Drosophila melanogaster: one gene and its partner. The protein of the gene in region 1 interacts with the protein of each later gene in a pairwise test. Each region holds a gene or a part of one and is shown on either strand. Other genes may lie near its edges.

Region 1 (11,570 bases):
CTTTGTACACCAATATGTTCTAGACTCAGATCCTGATACCAATTTATATTTTTGATTGAATACCTCTTGCTTTAATGTGTAATCTGTACGCTTTTACGTTTTTGTTAAGGGGAGTGTACTTTAGTATCTCAAACCCATTTCTTCCAGTGTGCCAAATTGATTCAACCGTGTTTGTTTTTCCGATGGCTGGGCGGGCAGCGCTGTCTGCACCGCCCCTGTGGCCCTCGAATCCAGACGAGACGTGGGTGGTGACGCATGTCATCGTAAACTTCATCATTGGCTCCGTTCAGCCCTTCGGCAGTTGAGCTAGATCCTCTCCAGCTCATCGGCAACTTACATAACGAATTGTGTATTTTCTTTGGCTTCGTCTCAGTCTCTGCCCATTTCATAAATATCATGGGCCTTCGTCTTCGTCTCCGACTACGGATCCGATTCTCTAGGGTAGCATCCGATCCGACCAAGTGAGGGCTGCAACCGAATTTCATGCCTTGTCGAGCTATTTAATTGCAAACAAATTATGTTCTAGCCAGTCGCATCTCTGTGTGGCTAATGGATGTTGCGGCGGAGGATGCCCTGATGATGTTGTCGAAACCCGAACGTTTATCTTGTAAATTGGTTGGGATTAATGTCTGGCGGAAGTTGTGATTTTCAGCCCAAGATCGGCCAATGATAGAGGGCCAACTGCCGGTAGTATTTTTCCTATGTTCAGATATGTTCATTTACCTACAGCGATGGATGGGCGTTCTGGGTTTGAGGGCTCAGCCCAGCAGGAGGATCTATATAATCCTAATTGAAATAAAACAAATTGATTCTCTTATATTTTAAGCTAACTTTAATGGCTTAACGTTAAGCTGAACTTAGGTACTAATCAGGCTAGAATCTGTATAATATCAAAATGAGTACTATGAGTATATATGTATAAATGATTTAGAGAACTTAATCTATAGACAATTAAACTATAGGTATACCCCGTTTTAAAACTTTAATATCTCTAACTTCCTCCCCCCAAAATGGCCGATATGCTGAAGCCCTTGCTCCTTGTAGATGGTTGTTCCAGTGGCTGTTCCTGCGTAGACTGCTCCAACGTGCTCGTTTCACTGCCCACATCCAGTTCGAGTTCTTCGGCTCCCGACTCATCGGAAATGAGATCCGCGCCGGAAACGCCTGGTGGAAGGTTCAGGCCAGGATGTGGGCCCAAACCCGCCTGTAGCATCGCTGCTGGTGGATACATAGGTGAGGCCTGAATCGCTCCTCCATACTCATGGGGTCTCCCAAAGTAGGTACATGCCAAATCCACAAGCGATGGCCTCAGCAGGCTCTGCATATTCTGCTGAAAGTGCTGCATAAAAACGCTGGAGGCACTCCTCGCCTGGAGGGGATGCGGATGCGAATGCGAATGTAGATGGGGCGGTGGAGAGCCCAGGGCCAAAGAACTGGCGCCAGGCACCGACTGATCGTCCAGCGATGATGATAAGGAGCAGGCTGAGCCATTTGATCTCAGGCGCTTGATTTGCGGACCATCCGAATCGCCGATCGACGATGTTCCTCCGGCTGTCTCACCGCCTCCTTTCGTTGGCGACATGTCAGACTCGGATTGGGACTGAGAATGGGATAGTGACGGCGACTGATCTTGATCCTCGCCCGTTGGCGATGAAGACATCTTGCGTTTGCAGCGCGATTGTCCCGTTTCGCGGAAGCCCTTGGCAAACGGATTGTTGTCGATCTTCAGCTTGGTGATGCGATCGTTCTGCGGAAGAAGGCAACAAGACGAGCGTGAAATATGACGATTGCCGCCAGCATAATCTTGGGCAACGGGGAGATGGAGATGGAGAAGGAGAAGAAGACTCATCACATAAGTCACTGGCGTCCAGTAGCTGGCGTTAAGTAACATGGCCACTTGACACCAGACTGCGTTTCCAGTTCTCGGTGCTCAGTTCCACTCCAGATGACTTGACAACATTGTGATCTTTCGGATCTTTCTCAAACCGAATCTCCGATCTCTCGGCGATCTTGCTAATTAGAGGCAGACTGGCGTCGGCTGTCAATGGGCCTAGACCTAGACAAAAACACAGCGAGGCGCTCAAATTTACAAGGATGTGGCTATCCAACTTCCTAAAACAACAATCCGACCCGCTGACTTTCTGCCTGCCCTGCCCACCAACTACACGATCCACGGAGGCGTTCCATGCTAATTCGAGACGTTGACCAAGCTACCCACGGCGTGAGCGATCGCCGCTCGTTTGCCCAAAATTAACCAATTAGTGTGATCGTTTCCAGTCTCTTTGCTCAATGAATTGGCAAAAAAAAAAATGCACACACAAGTAGGAAGGCTAACTTCGAGGACACATGACTCGAATACTCTTGGACGAAACATTTTTGTTAAATACCTAATAGTGCGATTTTAGACAACCTTGGATAAGTCTGTGAATAACATGTGAATTAATCAAAGATAGGATACCATGAGGTGATTTTGAACTAGAAGGGATTCTCATCGTGTGGCAAAGATATATATTTTATTTGAGAGTACTAATTAGACATTGAGCTAGACTCATTACCAAAATGATGGCGCCCATTGAGAGGGTAAACGGAGTAGGGATGGGGATGGCACACCACTTACCTGGTAGGCTGTCACGGCCACGAACTCCGTCTCGGCGAACACAAAGGCCTGTTGTGGGGCCCAGGGAATCTGCGCCAGATCAGCGGTGCGTATGACGTGCAGACGCGGCTGATACTTGTGCATGCTGGCCAGGACAATCTGCGAATGGGGATGGCGAAAGGGGTTTGGACTTGGATTAGTAACTGGAGACGACTTCAAAGCCCTGGCCGCACTTACATGGCCGCTGTTATCCAGCGTGTTATTGGTCAACTTGACCTTATTGAACAGTATGGGCTGCGCCTGCCAATGGGCACCGGTGGCCGGACTGTCCGGATGCAGGTACATCCGCTGGGGACTTTGCGGCTCGGCTCCTCCGGCTGGAACCCACTGGGAGCCGGAGAACTTGTAGCGGCAGTCGCCAATGGGTACCATCTCGAGGAGCACGCAATAGTTGCTCTCGTCCTCCAAGCCGGAAACACTTAGTCGCATCGAGGGGAACATGCGTCTTTAGGGGAAAGGAAAAGCATCTTATTAGTTTAATCAGTCTCTTATTATATAAGACAAAATCATTTTTCATTATATTATTAATACAAATAAGACTTTAATATCATAATTATATGGTATATTTTACTATTTGATAAATGGCTAATTTCAAAGTTGTTATAAAACCTAGCATAACCTTTTGTATATACCATATTAGACATGAGAGTTATCTTACAGATATTTCCCTTATAAATATTACCAAATCGTTGGTATACTGCTTTCCTACAACATTTTCCTCTGTGTCAGATGAGCGGGGGAAGTCCAGGAAAACGCCTGGAAAACCTTAGAGCCTTTGTTTACCGAACAAACTCAAATATAGTCATGCTAGAACGACAAAAGGAGCCCATTCCCGGTTCCAGCGTGGGCGTTACAAATATTTAATTGTGAGATTTCCCTTCCATGCGCCATGTAATTAGGACTGGTCAAATAGAGATTGCCCGGTGGAGTAGGGGCCGTTTTCCCTGTGCTAACAAGGATGCGAGGCCCTGACCCTCGCCTTCAACTCCAAGTCGCTGCCGCAGGAACAGCAGGTGGTCACGGCACTTGGCGCCTGGCCGAAAAATGTTTGCCCTTCGTCCTCATCCTCAACAGCGTCCTCATCCTCGAATGGTTTCTTGTTTTTGGCAATGATTTCGTGTTTCCCTCAACCGATGATTAATTAATTGAAATCCACAGAGCCTCGGTTTGCTAACATTTAATTTGATTCTGGCTTCGGGTCTGCCTTTTCAGCTCCGTTGAATTCCATTAGAGCACGGCACCGAAATATTTCGACATTTGTGCGGTTTAGAATTTCATTTTCAATTTGCTTGCTCTCAGTTTTTGTTTATTGTTTTTTTTTTTCTTTATTTTTTTGGCAAGAGTCCGCTGTCTGGATTTGGACAAACGATTTGTTAAGATCGATATCTTTGGCGCGTCTGCGCATAATTACCAGTGGAATTTTCTACTGCGAGTAAGGAGCATGCTGACCACTTGACGGCATTCGACTTGGCGCTTGACGCTTCGCAGGTGCAGGGACACAAGCCAGGAATGCGACGGAGCATCGGATCTCGGACTCCCGAAGGGTACTCTGGAAATATCCAGAGCTCACTCCAATGTTTACCCTACAATTCCATATAAATAGCTGCTTGATATTCCCAGAATTAGCATATTTAGGAAATTAAGAGTGAGACTATTTATTAATTGACAGCTATAAAACTGGAAGCAAACGACATAAATTTTGAACTCTTCAGATCGTAAGCCAGTTTTGAATGAGTCTACTAGGAATAACATTTCTTATTAGAGAAAGGGTAAAATATTTTCTTTTTTTCTTTCTGCAACTAAAAGTTTGAATCCAATTGAAAATTCTGGGTATATTTGCGCTTCTCATCGAAGTTACCGTGTCGCTTCTGTTTACCGCCTCTCTTGGTGAGTGGAGGAGCCCACACAGTCTAAAAGCATCGTGACAAAGTCATTTCATTTGCCGCCAGTATCAGACATTAAGCGATACGGTTTGTTCTATCTAACTTTAATGGCCGTCTGCGCTTTTACCACCCAAAAAGATGGAACGGTTCAAGTGGCAAGCGGAGCCCAGACAAGCAACTAATTAGTTTTTATGAGCGCCACTTGGCATAGGCATAGGTTTTGGACTTGGGATCGTATCCGTATGGGAAATGAAACGGGGATTGGGATGCGATTGGACAGACGGTGGCACTCTGGCGCCTAATCATTAAAAATTCAAATCGATTGCATCGCGACCTCTCCACCGATGCCCATAAAACATTTTTGATGAGCATAAAAAGTATTTAATACGCAGACTATATGAATAATTCATGGCATATATAAAACAAAAGGGTTGTTCGTGGCTCGAAGTGTATTCATTCAATGCATTTCGAGACCAAAAGTTTATGTTAATGCGTTTGGGAACCCTTTTTGATCGGCTCGAACTGAGGGCAAGTGTGAAATTGCTCGTATCTGTCGACAAGCTGTGGTCACTGTCACTGCCAAAAGATACAGATATGTACGAGCATCTTATAGAATGCAGAACGCGAAGATATTTCGGGGCCGCAGGTTGTTCGCTGCGCAGACAGGCGCCACAATAAAAACGCTAAGAGCTACAAAGATGACGACAAAGTATCCTTGACGCGAAGATTTATGCCAGGCGAGGCATAAAGGAGCGCCGACGAACCGACAGGACGTCCCACTGAGCTCGGCGCTCGCCCGATCGGTCCAGTTGGTCGGTCTACAATAAATTACGATGACGCCACTTTACGCACATTCGAACAAGTGCCGGACACTTTTAGGTAGTCGCCTTTGTGCAAGTAGTCGTGCATCTGATCTGATACTCATAGATACACGATAAATTAGCTCCGGGCGATCGCGCTATGCCTTTGATTCGTACTATCTACGATCTGAGCACGCAAAGTGCCGGCGAACTTGTTCGCTTTACGCCTCGTGCGATAGCCGATGTCCAGTGCGCATCAATTTTGGCTGAACCTGCAACCGCTTTTCCATTTCCCGATTTTCAATTTTCAATTTTCGATTTTCACATCCTGCCGACGTAAGTGCATCCTTCCGCCTTGTTTGCCTGTGAAAATCGTTGTCGCGACGCCGCTGTAAACAATTTGCAGGCGCCTGCATCTAATGAGCCTTTAACAGCAGCACATCCTCGCTGGACTCTACTGAATCGGATCGGAATCGGGATCGGGCCAGGGATCGGGCTAGGGATCGTTATAGGGTGCTTTAAGTGCCCGCGCCCGTTGGCTGGTTTATTATTCTTTGCCCTGCGTCTGGGGTATTAGTTTTCATGTTCGTGCTAATGCATCGCTACATCTATGTTTGTTCCCGATCTCTAAAGTCTGTATATCTCGAGATTCCCCCACTCTTGGTTTTTCATCATTTTCATCATCAAAGATCTTTTCTCTCTGTTCTAAACCTACCTGCCACTCTTGGTGATGATCATTTCCGTGCCAATTTGATGGAACTGCTTCCATAGATCGTCGTTCTGCAGGGTCATCTCCACGCCGGGCAACGTGACTCGAGGTGGCATGATCACGTGCCGTGGCATCGGAATTGGCAGCATCGGCGGAAACGGATCTGAAAAGAACAATAATCAATAGGGGGCTTATAGGTTAACAAAAGCTCAAGCAATCTAACAAACTACTTAGTCTTCAACAAAGAAAATTAAGAATTATTGAAATTATGTAAACATATTAACATGGTATTTGGCTAAAATGAAACCCATTCAAATAACTTAATAGTCGCCATTAGTTTAAGAGCGTGGGTCTGAATTAAAGTGTGACATTTCTGACTTATCCAAAGAGATCTTACGGCATAAATCCATATGATGACTGACATATTTGTCATAAAAACAAACGAACAAACATGGGGTTATATAAAAACGCTTATTTGGCGAACGAGGAACACCGATTCTTTCCCGATTACCAAACTTAATGCCCTCCATCTGGTATCCACAAAATAAGGAGCGATACTTTGGCAAACAACGATTTTGTTTTAGGGGTACGCTGATCCCGAAATTTAACGACCGTCGGCAACAAGAAAAATGCATTTGATATCAAGTTTCTCGATCGGCGATCACTTTCCCACATTACTCAGCTTTATGATCCGCTGGCCATAAACACCGCTACTCGCACACACCCCGCTGATCTTGGCCAACTTTGGTGGGCTGAGACAGTAACAGAAACAAAAGCAGTTTGCCAAAAGTTACGACCATTAATGCTAATGATGGCTAACAGCTTTGCCGCACGCGTAACGGGGCGGATGAGTGATATGAAGGGGGCAAGCAGTTTACCTGGTATGCGCTGCATGATCTGCTGGCGATAGATCTCGTGTGCTATGTGCTGCTGCATGCGCAGATCCACCAGCTCGTTCATGGTGATCATGATGTGTTGGGTCCAAAAATAGTACTAAATCTTTGCCCGAAACTTCTTTGTTTGGCGTTTGTCACTTGCACAATTGTTCCCCAGCACACAAAAAGCACTGTCACAACATATGGCGGTGTCTATTTTTTTGGAGCCCGGGTTTACTTTTTAGCCGAGCACGAGACGCCGCCGATTAGCGTCAATTATGCAAATCACGGCACACAAAAGTCTCTCATGTGCGTGGGTGTTAATTTGATTAGGCCCGGTGTCGCGTACGTGGGTTATTATTTTACCACAAATATATTGAGAGAATTTTTTGTATCTTTGGGCGACGGTCGTGTCTTGAGCTCGCCAAGTTCGCATTTCAACTGAGCAAGTTCCGCTGGCAGAGCGATCTCTCGATCGAGCTGAATGGAACGAGCTTGACTCGTTTCCGTCTTGAGCCATTGATCGAGATTACCTGCTGCTCACCATCGATTGGCTGTGGCAGTGTACGGAGTGCGGGAGCTAGCCGTCCCGCTCTGGTTTGGCACCTCCATTTTGAAAAATCCTCTCGATTTTCCAGATGCCATGGCTCCGCCCACGAAGCGCTGACTATCACTCTCTCTCTCTCTCTCTCTTCACATTGTGCCAGCTCGCTCTAATTGCGTTTAATTCTGAAGTGCGAAGTTGCACAGTCAGCGGAGGAGCAGCAACATGTTGCTTCTGGGTCCATTCGCTATGTGTGTGTGCGCTGGCTGGCTGCCTTTTAATTATGATCATGATGATTGAAATTGTTTTTTCTCCGTCTCCGCTTTTTGGCATCTTTTTGTGTATTTATGCTTTGCCCATTTGTAGCCGCTGCCATCACCATCACCATCATGGTGGTCCTCTTGTCTGGCCTCTCCAAGCCGTGTGTGTTTGTCGTTTTGCTGATCATTTATTACATTTTACCCGGCGCACTACAGAGAAAAGAATTTATTGATGCTGTTTGAACAGCAATTTGATGGTTTTTTATTGAAAAATATTTACTCTTGGTGTGTTTGGCAGCGTATTGTATAAGATATTGATCTAAGTATCAGTAAAAGTTCCAATCACTTACTTTAAAGTACCTTGTTTACCTGTTGGCGGATTGATGTTGGATGAAATTGCTTGGTCATCGTTGCAATAGTTTTTTTTTATACACATTTTAGAGTTTATCAGTAGAGAAGAATTGGTAAATAGTTTAATTAATTAATATATTGGGGCCCATTATACAATAATCTTTACTTTTTAATTAAACGAATAACACTTTAATGCAGTTTTCTCTGTGTAATTATATGTTATTTCGACTTTGACGCTGCGTCATTCAGGCATTGATATGGCGGCATCCAAAGGCCCGATATGGCGTCTCCACTTGCTGGTACACGAATATCTATAGGCTATAGTCTAGTCTACAGATATTGCCGGCGATGCAGGTGATCACTGTTTGTGGATCTGACCTTTTAGAGAGCTTGGCAAAACATTTGTTTCAAACGACGGAAACGCGTGTCGGAGCTGCTTGCTAACAAATTCGAAACTAATTAAGGCCCAATGAGGTGGTCTGAACTTTGACTGAAGTTAAGCATACGCCATGTGGGCCGACGATGGCGAAACGTGCTCGGTTTTTAATGTGTTGTTTTCTTTTTTTTTTTTTTGCCAACGACTAGTCTCGTGTTTGCCTCCAGTGCCACTTCCTTTCAAGTTTAAGACAATCGCTTGGCTTATCTGAACAGCATTACTGCGAAATTCCTGAGGCTCTCGATGGGTAAATATGTAGTTAGCCGAGCTAATTTACACAGCACTTTGCTGGCCTGACACATCCACGCATTATTTTCCTATGGATATGGCCATAGCCACAGTTGGCGGCGATAAGCGTCTGAAATTAATTTACTATTAGCAGGCCATTTCGCCCAAATTGCGTTCTGGCCACGTATGAATGTATGCGCCGTCTGACCATAATTTATGCCTCGCGTTTTCACATTTGGTCGCGCTCATTTCCGGTTGCGTTTTCCGTTCTGCCGTCTTTCAGCTCGACTACGTTCGTCAAACCATTAGACATCGATCCTGTAGAGCCTCTAAAGGGTCTGCCCTTTCAGACCATGCCAATAGCTGTGCAATTTGTCAGCACCCAGCTAATTGGTGCTGCCCCTGTGCCTGCTGTCTGACTAATGCATTTCGGTTTACTTCCGTTCGGTTCCGGATAAATGGGCCAACAGGTAGCAAATGATGCACTCGAAGAACTGCTAGTTGAGCAAGTAGTGTTTGCAATAATTAAAATACCTGCAGTTAGTTCGTTTTGCATGGGTTTCAGTCATCAAAGTATGGAGAAGCAAATTAAGCAAAAATTTCATTGAGTTCAGATAGATGGTCTTATCTATGACACATAGTCAAAGGAATTTTTGATTATTTTACTAGAGTGATAGTATTTCTCTGAGTGTACTTGCATTCCTGCCGCTTATCAATGTTTTGGGTATACATTTCAGAGATACACGTTTCAGACAGCGATCAAGTGAATCAGGGAGGACAAACAGATTGAATAGCCTTGAACCAGGGACCGTCCTCCAACGTCATTGTAAGTGCTATCCGTCCGGTGTCTTTCCACCCAGTTGCGAAATGAACCCGATACATGTGTATATCGGCTATAAAGGGGGCAGGTGGGAGCACGAGCCCTCGGCTTCTTTCTCGCACGGCTGCTCAAATTAAAATTAGCATAAATCGTCTATGAAAGCGATGTAATTTTCCATGGAAAATATGCCCTCCACTCATGTCAAGCGGCCATCGCAATTTATTGATTTAAACTTTTAGCTCGGATTTGTTTGAACAAGCCCTAGCGCCTCTATATACGACTATTAACGGACTGGCACTTAATCTCCGATTCTCTGATTGTGAATTGTCGATGATGGATGGTTGGATATTTGTATTTGCGTTACCCGTGAGTAGATCCATTGTTGCAACACGACCAACGTCTGGTCTTTTGCTGAGGCATGCAAATCTACTTTGGTATGCAAATTAAGTGACTCAATCAATATGGATGCGAACCAAACTGAACTGAACTGAAGCGACTCGAACCACCACATCGATGACCAAAGGAGGCATCATAATCATCTGTGTCCATTGCGGACCTCTTGACAGCTTTCAATGGTCGCGGGACCAGACCTACTCCAATAATTGAGAGGTGTTTAATCGTGTGTTTCGTTTTTGTTTTTCTGCACACTCACGACGCCCGAGATGTAGGCCTTTCGTTATGTTCCGTCTCCACCGGCTACCAATCCACTCGATCGCTGTTTGCTCTCAAATTATCATAAGCAAATAGGGCCCAAGATGCGCCAGGCCAGGCTGGATTCGGATTCATATATTCATAATCATATTCAGATTCAGATTCAGATTCAGATTCGTATTCGGATTCCCCCGTCCCCGTTGTTACTGACTACTTTGCGCTTCTCAGACCCCATCTTCAACTGAAGTGCTAAAGTTGCTGGCGACGCGACGCTCTGAGAGGCGCTTCTGTTGTGTAGACCCTTGAGTTATTACAATATTATATTCAAATTTCAAGTGCTACTGGCTCGCCGGTCCTCCACTCTCCGATCGTCTCCTCCATGAATGGTATATGGTTATAGCTGGGTATAGTTGGGTATCTGGGTGCCGAATCGAAGAATCTGCATATTTTCCAAAGCATCTAAGTATGGTTGTTTGCCTTCGAAGCCCATTGAGTTGGCACTCGGAGATGCGTGTTAATGGGATGTGTAACAACAAGATCATGGATTCAAATTTGGTGTTCAAAAACAATTGCCAAATCGGGTAAGCAAGCTGTGATGGAATGGCCAAGCTGAGGTGCTAAGATCAGAGCTAAAACATTAATGGTGCTTAATTTTTGATACTTAAAACCACTCAATGAATTAATTAAAAATTAAAAAGTTATAGAATTTCCAACACACCAGTCGAACGTTAAAATACATGATCATCAATATTTTTCTAAACTAATAAAATCGAACAATGGAAACATAGTTTAGCCATATTGTTTCTATGCAAATTTTGTAATGTGTTGCTTAATTTATTGCATTCATATTTAAAAATAGTCAAATGTTTTTATATTACATAAGGTATTGTTTAATTTATTTTAATCATATTCAAAAATAGTAATTTAGTTTTATACGATTTTTAATACGTGATATGCATATATTTTTGCAAATGAGTGAATGATTCTAAGCGAAACCTCTAGATTCTCGTAAAAATACAAAATTGGTGCTGCATTTCATTACCAAAATTGGTAAAATGGTGGCGATATGTGGCCAGCTCTAGAGCCAGAAAAGTTCAACGGCCAAAACGGTGACATCAAAGACGAGAGCCCCAGATCGCCGACAGTCAGCCAAAACAAAAGGAGAAAACCCAGTAACCCAAGTCCAGTAGTCCGGCCGGCCAGAAGAAACCATTTCGCTGATAAAAACATCCATTATGCGTAACAATTTGACGGCTTCTTTGGCTACCGATTGCCTTATGGATTCCGAGGCGGCTTTCGGCCTTCGCCTTTGATTGAGTGGCCGAGATGGCTTCGCCTAGCCGCGGGGTAATTGTTG
Region 2 (7,376 bases), on another chromosome or scaffold:
TATGCGGCAGATTTCGCAGCTGGAAGAGATTGGGGGTGAAAAAAATGTTTTACTCATTAGCATGAGGCTTCAAAAAAGTAATTTGATTACATTGAACTGCAGCATATCATATTCAACAGAGTACTGCTGATATTTTATAGGAATATATAGGCACACAATCGTTTTTTGCATATAAAACAAAAAATACGTTTGACATGCAAGATAGATTCGTTATTTAGTTGCGAATAATGGAAATCCTTCTAATTTGCATTCTCTGCAAATACTTAAGAACTGGGAGGAAGTCGTACCCGTGATCGCGAGTCAAGTTGTGATACTTTTGATGTGTCCTGCACTCGCTGGGTGTTACATACGACTTGGGGCAGTACTCGCACTGGTAGATACGCTTGCTGGCGTCCATGTGAACCCTGCGGAATATATTGGAAGGGTCACGTAAGTGGGGATGGTGGGCTAAGTGACGGTGGAGATTCGTCTGAAATTCTACCTTTCATGCATGCTGCGGGCGCTGCAAAAGCGAAAGGTTTTGCCACAGTTGTAGCGACAGATGTAGGGACGCTCGGTTGTGTGGGTTTTCTGATGGGAACAGAGTTCGGCGGCTGTATAAAAGGATGCGCTGCACTGGTCGCATTTGTGGCGTCGTGTGCCCGCGTGGCGAACCAGGTGATTCTTCAGATTAAAGGCCGTGGTCAGATGCTTGCCACATATGTGGCACACATGCTGGGACGCCGGCGGCCTGAGACACCGCTGTTTGTGAGTCTCCAGCAGAATGTGATTGTGGAATTGGCTCTTGCACTTGGTGCAGGAGTGCTGCAAAAAAAATGTTTCAAAATACAATCCTTTATGAAAGGTATTGAACATTTTAGATGGAATCATTACCGTCAATGGAAGATTAATCATGTTGCAGTGCCGCGTAAGTGCGGCTGCTGATCGGAAGCCCTCGTCACAGTGGTCACAGACGAATCTACAAGGATAATTAAAGTGTTAATTGTGGCAATTGATTGGTAGGTTCTCTCATACTGTGAATAAGTTGTTCTAGTCATTCAGTGATAGGGTTTAAAGGATTCCTTAATTCCAATCAGAGCAGCACGTATAAAATGGAAAATCGTTCTAAAATTAAATAAAAATTAAAACAAAAGACAATTAATACGGAATGAATGTGAGAGCTAGCTAATAGCCAATTTAGCAATGTAAACTAAACATATTTTGTGCCCTGACGGAACGTCTTCAGATCTTTTAGGATTTCTACAAGTTTCGAACGAATAATATGGGAAAATCATGCAAGCATGCCTCTAAAATATGATTATTTACTTGGTATCTGGCGGGATGTCGTGCAGATGGTATTTGTGCAGCTTCAGTTCGTCCACGTTTTCGAATTCGAGGCCACACTTGCTGCACGTGTGGCTGGAGGAAGTGTCCCGATTATCGATAGCTTCACTTTCGGGTTCTGATTCGGGAGAGAGGCCCATGTCAAAGTGCTCATTCGACAACTGGCTATCTGTTGAAAGTTCTGGAGAAGATTGCGGACTGGCCACTGACTGGTATGCATTCATATACTCTGTTGTTGTCGTGGTCTTTATGGAAGCCAACTCATCCGTATTCTTATCCTGTGGCTCGGGATCGAAGATAAAATCCATGCGATCATTCAGCTGTAGCACTGGCGACAAGTTGGACAACTCATCCGGACAATCATCCAGCCATTGCTCCGCCAGGCTCTCGAACGCCTCCTCCTCCTTTTCCACCTGCCTTAGCTGAAGTTCAAGGAGCTCCTGGGCCTCGATGCAAACGCGGCGGAAATCGATGGCAATCTGCAGGTCGTGCTGGCAGTCCTGGCACATGAACCTGGGCAACTTGCCGTCCTCTTTTAGCTGCAAAGTGATTACAGATCGCGGCATTTATTCGGTTTTTATTTTCGCAAAACGCTAACGCACTCACCTGCAAGTTAGTTAGAGTCTCTATTTGACGCAAAACGGAAGAACTCGATGGATCGAAGAGATTCTTGGCTACCGCAGGATCAGCCATACGAGAACAGGTCCTGCAAATGTACCTCATGGCTTGTGTAATGAGATAACGCAGCACCCCGATCGATTGGAAGTGTATCTTTTTCGGTTTGTTTGGACGGAAGAACAAGAAAAGCGGCATTCGCATTTCTCAGCCCCACGCATAGTCGATTTCGAATTGACATTCGCCCAGCAACGCGGCCATTCCGCCGATTTTCAAAATCTCAATTTGTTGTTACAAGTTTTTTTCAAGAAATAAACCATTGTATCTGCAGAGCGAAAAGTCGAAAACCTTTGATGTCACAGGTGTACATTTTGATTATTTCTTCTTTTAGAACCATCAAATCAAAAATAGAATCAATTTGTTCAATTTAGGAATCTTATAATAAACTTGTACTTTCAGCAGTCCACATGAATTCTAGACAATCCTAGCACTTTCAGCTCTTCGCTGGTGTAATTTAGTGCTTTGATGTAGGGTCAAATGGGATGAGCGCAGGAACCACTGGTCACAGATCTCGCAGCTGGAAAATACAGTCAGTTTGCACATATTTTACGGAGGACAGCTAGTGCTCCTACTTACTGGTACTTCCGCTGATTAGTGTGCAGCATCTCATGTTTTTGACGCGTCGACGTGGAGGTGAAGGCCTTGTCGCAATGCTGGCACTGAAAGGGACGCTCGTTGGTGTGGGTCCGCTCGTGGACCACTTTACTGCTGCATCCTCGGTAGGTCTTGCTACAGAACCGACAAGCGTACGGTCTGGCGTCCGTGTGAAGGATTCTGTGGCGCCGCATCTCGTTATCCGTGTAGTACTTGGCCTGGCAGATGTCGCACGCGAACGGTTTGTGACCGCTGTGTCGCTGCAGGTGCAGTTTGAGGTAGGTAGAGGACTTGAAGACGCCGCCGCACTGGTCACAGAACCAGGACTTGGAGTTGCGCTTCGTACGCTTGGGGACACGGGCACTTACTCCCTTCGAGATGATGGACATGTTATGGAGCTGCTCTTGACAGTGCTCCACCTCCTCTGTTTGTACTTGTACTTGTTCCTCCTGATTCTTCTCATTCTGAGTCGCATCTTCTGCGTCCTTCGCCTTCTCATTATCATTGTGATCTTCCCGCAGAAGCCCAGCTGTATCTGCCATTGCTACACACATTTCCTGATCCGTGTGGTCCCACAAATCCTGCTGTAGCTTCTCAACATCCGGTTTATCGAGTTCCTCATCAACTATCGCCTTTTTTCGCAAAAGTTTCCTGTTAGCGGCCATAAAAGACTTGTGGACCTCCAAGCACTTATTGCGAAATGTTAAGATCCTGTCCAGCTGCACTTTGCAACATTGGCAAATTAGATGTGGCAGAGTGGTGTCAAATTCGAGCTAAACAATCATTTAAATCAATTAAATAGACAGCATACTTTAGTTTTATTCACTTACATACATACATATCGGTGATATTTTCCAGTATACTAATAAAGTGATAGTTGCTTTTGTTGAACAGTTTGGTAGCCCGACCCTGCAAATTGGTCACATTTTTGCCACAAGTTCGGCAAATCGATCGCAACTCAGACATTTTGAGCAAACCAAACGATATTTAAAAAGGTTTTTTAAAACTCAACATTATTGTGATGCATTACATTCAAGTGAATGGCAAGCGAGATAATGAAGATGCACATCAGCTGTTGTCTGTTTACTAAGTGCATGTGCGTGGTGTGTACACACTGGCTAAACGATATTTGAACAATTCAAAACAAAAATATAAAATTGTATTATTTTTTTTTTTTTTGAAAAAGCATAGACGCATCCAATACTTTTCTTTCATTTTAAACAACAATTTGGTTGAAATCGGCATCTTTTAAGAAATCTAACTTTTATTCGTTTCAGAACTAAAATCTTAATCAGACTTCTTTGCTCTCGACTTAATGTTATATATAAAATTCGTTGAGCCTTGCATTAAGTGCACGCTTATGCTGATATATGGCTTTGCCTGGCTGCATGATCACTAGGTGATACCTACTCCTTAATTCCCATTCTGCAGACCGGACAGTGGCGGCCACCATTAGCCTGGTACTGGTGGAGGCACTTCTCATGCAAGGCGTGGCTGCAGCGCAGATACACCATGGTGTAAACACTTAGGGGATCTAAACAAATCGTGCACAAGTCACCGGCTATATTGACATTAACCACCTTATCGCACTCGAGGCACTTTCTATGGGAATAGCGAAACACCAAGTAGCAGAGATTGTGCATGGCATGTCCACACCTCATGCGGCGCCGGTCGTCATCACTCAGTTCATACTGGCAAAAGGTGCACCTGCCATTCGGCGACCTGCAATGAAACAAGGGATTTAAGCCAACATTTTAGCTTTGAATCGCAAGGCACCAACCTGCCCACGATTCGACGCTCATTTAATAGCACCCACCTGGAGTAAGGCGAACTGCGGTCGTTATGCCAATTGAAATAGGCGAAAGCGGCAACGGACACCAGGCCCAAGCCTATTATTAGATTCACGTAGACCATTTTCCGCTGGCTATTGGCCTAAGTAACGTGGAAATAGAAATAAGTAGAGATTTTCCATGAAATCCCCAAAAATTAAATCAAATTTCCACTTTAGTGGGACCGCAACTGGTCGGCACTGAAAATCCAAATAGAATTGCTTGGCCACATCAACTGGCCTATTGATCATGATCAAGAATATATATGAAAATGAATTAAAAATTAATGCTGGTGCCGCAGAGGAGAGTCCTCGCAGCAGTCACTGTCCCGCCAAACCACGTCCCACCGACTTGACCTGCAGGACAGGACTTCCCCGTGTTCCAAACTCCACCGTTCCGCCTTTAAAATACCGTGTCGCACAGCCGGTATCCAAGCAGTCCAAGTGTGGCATTTAACCACCTACTCGCGCACAGTCACACCGATTTTCAGTTCGTGAACACAGTTTGATGAACTTTATGCGGAATTTTAGGGATTTGAGAATTTTGACGAGTCCAGGCAGGGGTTACTAAAGTCTCGACTCGCCCAGCGTGCGCCATCGATTTCGGCGTGGAAATCGAAGTGAAACCTCCAGCGCCGTTGCCCGAGAAACACACACACAGACACCTAATCGGGCACACCCCCACACAAAACGGGCAGACAGGAGGATTTTCCGCTGGCAATTACTCGGTGAGACGGGCGGTTAACTTAACGACGGCCATAGCTATGACGGACCGCGAGCGCAGCATTCACGAAATGCTGAAGGATGCGCCCTCGCTGAACGACAGCTGCGGAGCGGTGCACACGGGCACCGAAGGCGGCAGCGGGATCCTTGGAAGCGCCAGCAGCCACAGCATCGCCGGCGGAGGAGGTGGTGGCGGCAACGTTGGAGTTGGTGTCGGCGGCCCCTTTGGCGCCCCCAGCAGCCTGCCACTAAGAAACCATTCAGGTGAACTATTTACGAGTCCTCGATTTAGCGACCAACTGACTCAGCATCGATCTTTTCGTGCAGCACCCACCACACCCATGTCGCCCAGTAGTCCACCATCCGGTAACGGCATCCTGAGCCCCACGGACAGCGGGAGCGGCAGCATTATACGCACTAGCGCCTCCAAGATCGACAGTCTCAAGAACTGGAGTATATCGACGTACAAGTGTACGCGACAGATAATGCTGGAGAAGTTGGGCAAGTCGCAGCGGACCGTGGACTCGGAACTGGAGGCCCAGATAGAGCAGTTGCGCGAGACGCAGCGCAAGTATCTGTCCATCTTGAGGCTAACGCGGGCCTTTAGTTCGCACTTCCAGCACGTGGTCGTCACACAGCACGCCCTGGCCGACTCCTTCGCCGATCTGGCCCAGAAGAACCCCGAGCTGCAGAAAGAGTTCACGTGCAATTCGGAGACGCAGCGCAATCTCACCAAGAACGGCGAGCTGCTGCTTAATGCGCTCAACTTCTTTATTTCGTCGGTGAACACACTGTGCAACAAGACGATCGACGATACGCTGCTGACGATACGACAGTACGAAACGGCCAGGTAACCAAAGCTATATCCTTTCATTGTCGTGCAACAACGAAGGAAAAATCATCATCGATCTCTTCGATTTTAATTTAAACTCAGCATGTGTGTGGCTTTTTATAAAAAGTGTTGTGCCACACAGCTCTTATCAGAAATGCATTTTAAACTAGCCTTGTATACAAGCTTGAAACATTGCTTATCGTATTATTTCCTTGAAAAAATTTAAATACGTTGGATCAATTAGTCATAACCGCATTCCATGATAATCTCTACAATGGCAATAAGTTTTTATTTCCTAAAGCCATCGTATGTTTCATAAAAAGGCATGAGAATTATATGTAGTAGAAGTAATGTCCTCCTGCCTTTTAGAATCGAATTCGATGCCTACCGCATGGATTTGGAGAACACCAAGCCGGAGCTGACGCCCTCGGCCGTCGCTCTTGAGGAGACCCAGCGCAGCTATGCGCAGCACAAGGAGCAATATGAGAAGCTGCGCTCGGACGTGGCCGTCAAAATGCAATTTCTCGACGAGAATCGCGTAAGTGGTGCCAAATGGATCTTACCTATGCATTTAGCGAGACTAACCATTGATCCAATCCGTTTATCCGTCGATAGATTAAAGTGATGCACAAGCAATTGATTCTGCTGCACAATGCCATCGCTGCCTACTTCTCGGGCAATGCCATGGCACTGGAGAGCACTCTGAAGCAGTTCAACATAAAGGTGAGTGAGCATGGAAACATGGGAGCAGAGTGCTCCCATTAAACTTCGTTCGCACATTCACTTTTTCACTTCTCCTCTTGTGGCCCGCAGCTTAAGTCACCCAATGCCGTCACTGGATCCTGGCTGGAGCAGTAGATCGAGTAGACGCAGTTCGTCCCTTTCACTCGCGAAGCACTTAGGCGCGTATATTGGAGGAGATCGGGACACGTCGTCCACCTCCACTCATTTGCTGAACGAGCACGCTCTCTAAAAGAAAAAGGAAAAGATCGGTGGCAGAGATGATTCAGTATGCGATGCAGTGGACAGAAACACTGCATGGCGAACCATAACAATATTTTCGTGCTAAGTTTAAGTCGAATTCCTAAGCCGTAAGCAGAAAGTGAGAGTGGTAGGTGTATGTTATTTATATATTTTTCCAACCGCTTTCCATTGTATGTAACTCGCTGTACTACTCACATTTCCACAGCTGGTACGCTGACGTTCCTTTAACTTGTTTGTGTTTCCAAATTTTCGTTCGATTATCATCATATTGTTGTCCTCCGCGCTTGTAAAACATATATAACAAAGTGTACTCGGTGCAATATGAGTGTTTTAGTTTTAGATATTCTAGAATGTGTGTATAAATCCTTTGTAATTCACCCAAAACGAATAATCCATAACGAATCGAAACTGTTTTTG

What was found.
Region 2: the proteins of Doc2 (region 1) and CG31441 interact in a two-hybrid assay, tested with the Drosophila melanogaster proteins (one large-scale study listed by BioGRID).

Annotation. Positions count from the first base shown.
Region 1 is NT_037436.4:9,011,875-9,023,444, forward strand, and holds Doc2 (Dorsocross2), read right to left. Parts: upstream 7,373-11,570; 5' UTR 7,018-7,372; coding exon 6,927-7,017; intron 6,212-6,926; coding exon 6,055-6,211; intron 3,102-6,054; coding exon 2,834-3,101; intron 2,756-2,833; coding exon 2,618-2,755; intron 1,748-2,617; coding exon 992-1,747; 3' UTR 812-991; downstream 1-811.
Region 2 is NT_033777.3:11,232,539-11,239,914, reverse strand, and holds CG31441 (uncharacterized protein), read right to left. Parts: upstream 3,630-7,376; 5' UTR 3,559-3,629; coding exon 3,427-3,558; coding exon of another isoform or gene 3,423-3,426; intron 3,366-3,422; coding exon 2,575-3,365; intron 2,516-2,574; coding exon 2,413-2,515; 3' UTR 2,291-2,412; downstream 1-2,290. Other genes in the region: CG31388 (uncharacterized protein), read right to left, coding at 1-19, 288-404, 482-804, 874-958, 1,306-1,862, 1,930-2,046; CG17721 (uncharacterized protein), read right to left, coding at 3,999-4,314, 4,373-4,506; Arfip (arfaptin), read left to right, coding at 5,185-5,407, 5,471-5,993, 6,345-6,513, 6,591-6,698, 6,789-6,833.